Rattus norvegicus: one gene and its partner. The protein of the gene in region 1 interacts with the protein of each later gene in a pairwise test. Links are inferred from orthologs where the notes say so. Each region holds a gene or a part of one and is shown on either strand. Other genes may lie near its edges.

Region 1 (3,500 bases):
GAAGATGCATGTTATCATAAATTCTGTGATGAGACATTCTTGGAGGCATTAGCACCATAGGAGTACCTGCCTCTCTGTTGAAATGTCTCATGATTCCCTACAGCTTGGGCTCACATGGCCTGGCCTCCTCCACACAAGCATGCAGTCCCTGCAGAGACAGAACTAGGCTACACGGTGAGACTCCATAAACAAATAGACCTACATCCCGGGCCAAACGTGTATTTGGATCAAATGTTGATCATTTACATCTAGATTAGGTGTAAAGACCTACTGGAAGGCATACAGTAATAATTTTTGTTTTTGAAGATAAAATAGAAAGTTCCCTGTTGAGTATGATAGATAATAACCAAAAAAGGAAAGAAAAATAAAAAACCAAGATTGCCCACGTCTGTGTCCTAAGTAAACAGACTGTAGGAGACAGGGCCGTCTACTGCGGCCATCCTTCACCTCCTGAGGACGGAGACTTCAGACATCATCAGCAGACCAGCTGCAGTGACTTTTCTGAATTCTACTCATCTATTAAGCAGATCTGTCCAGTGAGAGCAAAGGCAAAGACAGACTGTCAATGGCAATAGCTGTTTCCATTTATCACAAGTCTGGTAATTAATTCATTACTCTGCCAATCAACCGCATTGCCAGTGGGATCTGTGGAAGCGGGAAGGGTCAGCTTACCGTGCACATGGCTGTCTTTGTGGTTCTCAGGGTAAAGTCTGAAGAAAACTCCAAGTCTGAGATAGATGTGGTGTGGCAATCTATATGCTTCCCATTGGAAAGGAGAAAGAAAGAGATCAGTAAACAGGACTAGCAAAGCCTGGCTAACATAATATTCCCTAACTTCTAATCATATATGATTCTGAGGATTCTTTCCAAGCTAAAGGAAGAGTAACAGTTAATGTTTCTCTAAATCACGTTGCTGTCTTCTACTTTGATTTCCTATAAGCAATAATATCCATGAAATAATGCTTTGATCTGTCTGCCATTTTGCTGACACACTAAAGACCTCCAAATTTAAAATCTAGTGTTCTGTGCTTGACCCAAGATCACCTTACATATTATCACCACACACCACTCACATCTACTGTGCTTCTGGTTATGACATTAATCTTAGAGGAAATGGTAACTTGAAAACACACGCTGGTGAAGGGAAAGACTGTCAGGAAAAATTCATCTCTCAATATTTAAAGGTGTTTTTGGATAGAAGGAAAAGCCATAATAATTCAAACCAAACAGCAGAACAGAGGGTTCATCTTGGACAGAAACAGCGTATTTCTTTGTGTCCTGTCCTGGCTCAAGTTCTCCAAGTAACTTTGGGAAGGGGTGGCAAGTGACAGCCTGGGACACTACCCTCTTTATGACAGATAGTTGGAGAAACATTTTAAAGACAGTTATAGTGTAGGGCTGTTAGGTGTAGGAAGAATGAGAATAAACATGGCTGCACAGGCAAGCTCGCTATCACAGCATTCTCAAAACACGCTGAGAGTCAGCCCTAAACCAGCTGTCTCAACTACTCCAGTAGTTTAAGGGATCAAGCAAAGCCAGCATTCCCTCCCCCATTTCCTCCTGCTCTGCCAAGGTGACAGCAACTGTTCCCCTCTGCTCTGATCCAAACAGCTCCACAGGCCTCTTCCTACCAGAGTACCAGAGCGTGAAGCAGGCCCACAGTGCACCAGGGAACCCAGCAGCTCCACAGTTAATCAGGCTTGCTTGTTGAGGAGGCTCCTTTATGCAGAGAACAGCTATATATTACAAAAGGAAGGAGACACTGCCCTAACCCACAGCTGAAATCTTCACACACTTCATTATGTTACCAAGCTATGGTGAGCCTATGTAAAATCGACAGTCCCATAAATCCATAGGTTAACATGACAAAAATAAACACAGAAGAACTTAATGAGGATATTTTAACACAGCCATGTGGTTTCAGGTAAATTCGTGCTAATTAAGCTAATGAGGCTGGAAGAAGTCTAAGTAAGAACTTGACAGTGGAATATAGGATGAGAATGATGATCTGTGAGAGGGCAGCTTGGTGCCAGGCGGCAGTGAAGCAGATGCCAGCACTGAAGATGCAGGCTTCTGGCCCAGGAGGCTAGACTATGTATAAGTGAGTCAACCAGCTCCTGGACTTGGATTTGAAGGCTGATAAATGGAGTAAGAAGTGATTCTAAGCAATGATGGCCTAGAAGCAAGTTTGACCCTGTTTTAGAGTAAACCAAAACCAGAGGAGGCCCACATGGAAAGTCAGTAAGAAGGCTGTCTTCTACTTGGATTTCCTATAAGCAATAATATCCATGAAATCACGCTTTGATCTGTCTGCCATTTTGCTGACATACTAAAGACCTCCAAATTTAAAATCTAGTGCTCTGTGCTTGACCCAAGATCACCTTACATATTATCACCACACACCACTCACATCTACTGTGACCCATGTCCTTGGATCAAGGCAACTGTGAACTAAAAGCATTATATTTTTTTATACCTGAACCAAGCGTGTGCAGAGGTCTAGCTTCTCAAATGCTGTAAACAGTACAGTTTACTACTTGAACAGCACTCACTTTGTAACAAATGTAAGTGAAGTAAGTGATAATTTAAAATGTGTGCAGGCCACATGCAGACACTCCCTCATTTTGCATAAGGGTTTTCTGCACATCTATTAGACAGTGGCTTGTGCAGGGAGTCTTAGCATCAAACCCCACAGACACAGAGGGAATGCTCACACACCTACCTTGATATCACAAGGGTCTGAAATGAGAGTCTTGTGATCTACAACTTCCACAACAGCTTCTGGTATAACTGCTTTCTTCATGCAGGACATGTTGAAGCCATAGACGTCATCCCAGAAGGCAATTCTATCGGCGTGTTTGCTCACGTCACTCACGGCCACAAGGCTGATGGTGCAAATGTCAGGGTAGACTAGAATAAAGAAAATGCCCATATATGGAGCAACTTCGTTTCAATGAAAGGATGGTTTTAAATGGCTAAATATAAATATCAAACCTATCTATATGGACTACTTAGCAGGGGGAGATCAATGAAGACAGAGACAGAGACAACCGACCCCAGTGCCTATAGTTGTGATGGTAAAGTCAACATTCCAACGATAGGTTCCTATTAAAATTACTCAAACACTCTTGAAACAAACATACTAATATTAAAGCTAAAATATGACAACTTAAAACAGCCCTCTAAACTGCTATTTCACATATTCCCCTAAAGTAAAGAAAACTATCCAGAAAAGTATGTAGCACCACAGGGGGAAATCACCCTGGAGTTTTATGGGCAGGTAGAGGAGCAGCTCATACTATACTTTAATATAAAATGATCATTAAGTATCTTCCAATCTAAATTAAACACTGTGGATACAAATTCCTACTCTCAAGAAATTTGTACTTATCTATTTATTTTGAGACGGGCTCTCATGTCACCCAGACTGGTCTCAAAAGAGAAGTATAAGGCACTATGGATCACCTACCAAAACCAATAAATTCAGACAAGGCTTTAAC
Region 2 (3,681 bases), on another chromosome or scaffold:
TTAAGGCTTGTCAGCAGAGGGAAGGAGAGAGTGCACTGCAGAACTGTGCCAAGGAATTGGAGCAATTCACCCAAGTGTCTAAAGCCTACCAGGACCGCTGTGAGTGACCCTTTTACCTTGTGGCTTTCCCCACCCTTTCAGCTGTATGATCAGTTTTGGGTCCTTGTTTCCCGCGTTACTAAAACCTGCCTATAACAAGCTCTCCATGGCCCATCTCTCCTCCAGACCAGGACCTGGGAGCCTACTATTCTGCCAGGAAGTGCCTGGCAAAGCAGAAGCAGAGGATGCTGGAAGAGAGAAAGGCTGCCAAGGAGACTGCTGCCGCCTAAGACACCAGACAAAGAACTCTTGTTCATCCACTGCTGAAATAAAATGACAGGCCTGGCCATCACCTGTGTCTCTGTGTCTAAGTTGCACAGCCGCTTAGTTGGGCTCATTTTGAGCCAGCCAGAGCTGTGTAGTTCCAGGTATGGGGGAGACAGACAAAAGGAAAAACACAATTAACAGACTTAATTCATTTATTTTTCTTGTATAAAAACCCTTATGTGGTAGCCACAGCTGGAGCCTGGGTCCTCTGAACAGAGACTCTGGTGTGGGTTTTCACAAGATGGTCAGTGAATTCCTAAAAAGAGAAGGACATTAGTATACAACATGCCCCCAACTCAGGCAACAAAGCTTAAGGCAGCTAAACACACCACCATCTGGTTCTTTTTTTTTTTTCCGGAGCTGGGGACCGAACCCAGGGCCTTGCGCTTCCTAGGCAAGCGCTCTACCACTGAGCTAAATCCCCAACACACCACCATCTGAATCAGCCTACCTGATAAGGAGACTTGGTGAACACAGTCTCTTTCCAGAGGTCAGGGGTCAGGTAGCTGTAGGTCTTGGAGATGGCATCAAAGGTGGCCTTGGCTGTGAAACAGTAAAAGAGTTGGTTTTGTCTTTTTTTTTTTAAGATTAAAACAGCTGAAGAGAGGCCACAATAAATGAGCTACCTACCAAAGTTGCCCAGGGTGGCAGTGCAGCCCCTGGCTGAAGTGTAGCAGTCATCTATACCGGCCATCATCAGTAGCTTCTTGGGCACAGGAGCAGAGACAATGCCAGTGCCTCTGGGGGCAGGGATGAGACGAACCAGCACAGAGCCACAGCGGCCTGTCACCTTGCATGGCACAGTGTGGGGCTTGCCAATCTTGTTCCCCCAGTAGCCTCTCCGCACTGGGACGATCGAAAGCTTGGCCAGGATGATGGCCCCTCGGATGGCAGTGGCTACCTCCTTGGAGCACTTAACACCAAGACCAACGTGGCCATTGTAGTCCCCAATAGCGACAAAGGCCTGTGAAAAGACTTAAGTGAAATGGCTGTAGATACCTCATGCCACCAGCACATCCCAAACAGGACCTGTGGTGCTCCTCTAAGCAAGAAAGGCCACTGTGAGGCCAATCCCAAGTACTGGAGGAACTCCTTTTCTCTCTCTCCCGGTACGAAAGTCACACGGGTAAAGCCTAGTGTAACCATGCAGAGTGAGAGAGTTAAGTACAGCCCTACTGTTCAAACGGCTCTTGCCAAGAAACGATCCTAACTAACCTTGAACCTGGTCCGCTGGCCAGCCCGAGTCTGCTTCTGCACTGGCATGATTTTCAGAACTTCATCCTTTAGAGATGCACCCAGGAAAAAGTCAATAATCTCAGACTCCTGTAAAAGAGATTTTATGGCAAATACATTAAATTCGCTCCCTACCAATGGACAAAGAAGGGTATTCCAATCCTCCTCCACCCTTGACAATAAAATGTGGCAGCACACTTAGAGCCATCTAGATATTCCCGCCCTTGAGTTGTTTATGCACGGACTCATCTTTGTACCTTAATGGGCAGGGAGAACAGGTAGATCTCCTCCAAGGACTTGATCTTCATGTCCTTAACCAGGCGGCCCAGCTTGGTAACGGGGATCCACTGAAGGAAGAGATCAGTCAAAGGGCTGCATCTCCGTGCAGAGGGTGAGCAGCCCGCTCCGCCAGCGGCCCACACCTACCTCCTTGTCTTCAGCTTTACCTCCACGAGCCCCGCGGCCTCGACCGCGGCCACGGCCTCGGCCACGACCGCGGCCCCTAAGGCCGCTGCCGAATCCTCCGCGGAAGCCGCCGCGGCCTCCTAATCCTGGGCCCCCGGGTCCTCCGGGCCCTCCCGCTGCACCGGCGTCATCCGCCATTTGCTAGTGACAAGAGAAGAAAAAGCAAATCAGTAGAACCCCAGGGTCCGCGGAGCTGCCAAAGCTGTGTCCGTCCGGATGTCCACGGATTCCCACAGCCCAGGCCGCAAGATCAGAGCCCAGTAACACAGACTCACGTGTTTTCCCGAAGAAAAAGAAGAGGGAGGCGCTGCGGAAGGGACCTTTTATAGCGAGCCAAGAGCCGCGAGATCTCGAACGTCTATACAGGGCAACTGCAGGCTGTGATTGGCTGCGTCTTGTCCCGCCTCCGCCACGGTCTACTTGCGCCTGCGCACTTCCCCTCGCCGAAGCCGCGAACGCCACCAGCCGGAAGCGCGTATATAAATACTCGCGCCGGCGCTTTGTGGTCTTCCTAGTGTCCACGAGTTCGTGCTTCCGTTTTCATGTCCAGGTAGGTCGCTCCTGATGGGCTTTGACCCAGTAAATGGGCGTTCGTTGAAAATCATCCTCGGCTTTGGCCTGTGGCCGGGGTTGAGAATCGGCGCCCAGAGCCACAGAGGCCTCAGCTCACCCCCTGCTGCCCCAGTGTGGGAGGGTGAAACCCAGGCCCCTACATTCCAGATCGCCTCGCCGCTCCCGCGGTCTGGCTTGGGGCCACAGTCCTAATCACGTCATTTATTTCACAGGTTCCACTGGATCTGAACGTTGTCGCCGCCTCCCCCGCAAGAGTGGCAGTGTTCGGGTGTCCTCTTTTCTCAAAATGAGTTAATTCCACCGGATCTGGACGTTGCCGCTGACTCTCCCGCGAGAATGACAGGGTTCGGATGTCCTCTTTTCTCAAATAAAATGTTTTAACTTAACTGTGTATTAATGTGTTGGACGGTTACCATCAGTCTAGGTGGAAAGTGCATTCTCTTTTTTCTTTTTTTTTTTTTCGGAACTGGGGACCGAACCCAGGGCCTTGCGGTTGCTAGGCAAGCGCTCTACCACTGAGCTAAATCCCCAACCCCGGAAAGTGCATTCTCAACCGGTGTGTTAGTCTCAGCAGTCAGCATCTGGGTACCCAAGGCAGGCGGATTCTTGTGCGTTTTAATGTGCTTTGTTTTGCTTGCGTGAATGTACATCACTTGGTGTAACTGACTCCCATAAGAACGGGTTTTTCTTTTTTAAAGATTTATTATATATAAGTACACTGTAGGTGCCCTCAGACACACCAGAATAGAGCATCAGATCTCATTACAGATGGATGTGAGCCACTGTGTGGTTGCTTGGATTCCAACTCTGGACCTCTGGAAGAGCAGCCGGTGTTCTTAACCACTGAGCCATCTCTCCAACCTAAGAGCGGTTTTGAACCAGTTTTTTTTTCCACTTTTTGGTGAGACTGGGTTGTGCCTTGTACTCTAGGAATGCCCTGAATTTTAACAATCCTACTTCAGCCTTTCAAAGATTGGGGTTACACTGACTGGAGCCTGGGTGTGATTGCCTGTACTGGAGAGGCAGGCTTGCTGTACATACAGT

What was found.
Region 2: the proteins of Prmt3 (region 1) and Rps2 interact in binary tests that used the Homo sapiens proteins (3 or more experiments, as listed by UniProt). The link is inferred for Rattus norvegicus from reciprocal best matches to the Homo sapiens genes PRMT3 and RPS2.

What each region holds. Positions count from the first base shown.
Region 1 is NC_086019.1:108,677,424-108,680,923, reverse strand, and holds part of Prmt3 (protein arginine N-methyltransferase 3), read right to left. Parts: intron 2,911-3,500; coding exon 2,723-2,910; intron 760-2,722; coding exon 673-759; intron 1-672. UniProt on the Homo sapiens protein: Protein-arginine N-methyltransferase that catalyzes both the monomethylation and asymmetric dimethylation of the guanidino nitrogens of arginine residues in target proteins, and therefore falls into the group of type I methyltransferases.
Region 2 is NC_086028.1:14,250,517-14,254,197, reverse strand, and holds Rps2 (small ribosomal subunit protein uS5), read right to left. Parts: upstream 2,351-3,681; 5' UTR 2,340-2,350; exon of another isoform or gene 2,206-2,339; 5' UTR 2,203-2,205; coding exon 2,026-2,202; intron 1,947-2,025; coding exon 1,857-1,946; intron 1,690-1,856; coding exon 1,582-1,689; intron 1,528-1,581; exon of another isoform or gene 1,394-1,527; intron 1,331-1,393; coding exon 997-1,330; intron 910-996; coding exon 818-909; intron 623-817; coding exon 542-622; 3' UTR 501-541; downstream 1-500. Other genes in the region: Ndufb10 (NADH dehydrogenase [ubiquinone] 1 beta subcomplex subunit 10), read left to right, coding at 1-99, 226-329.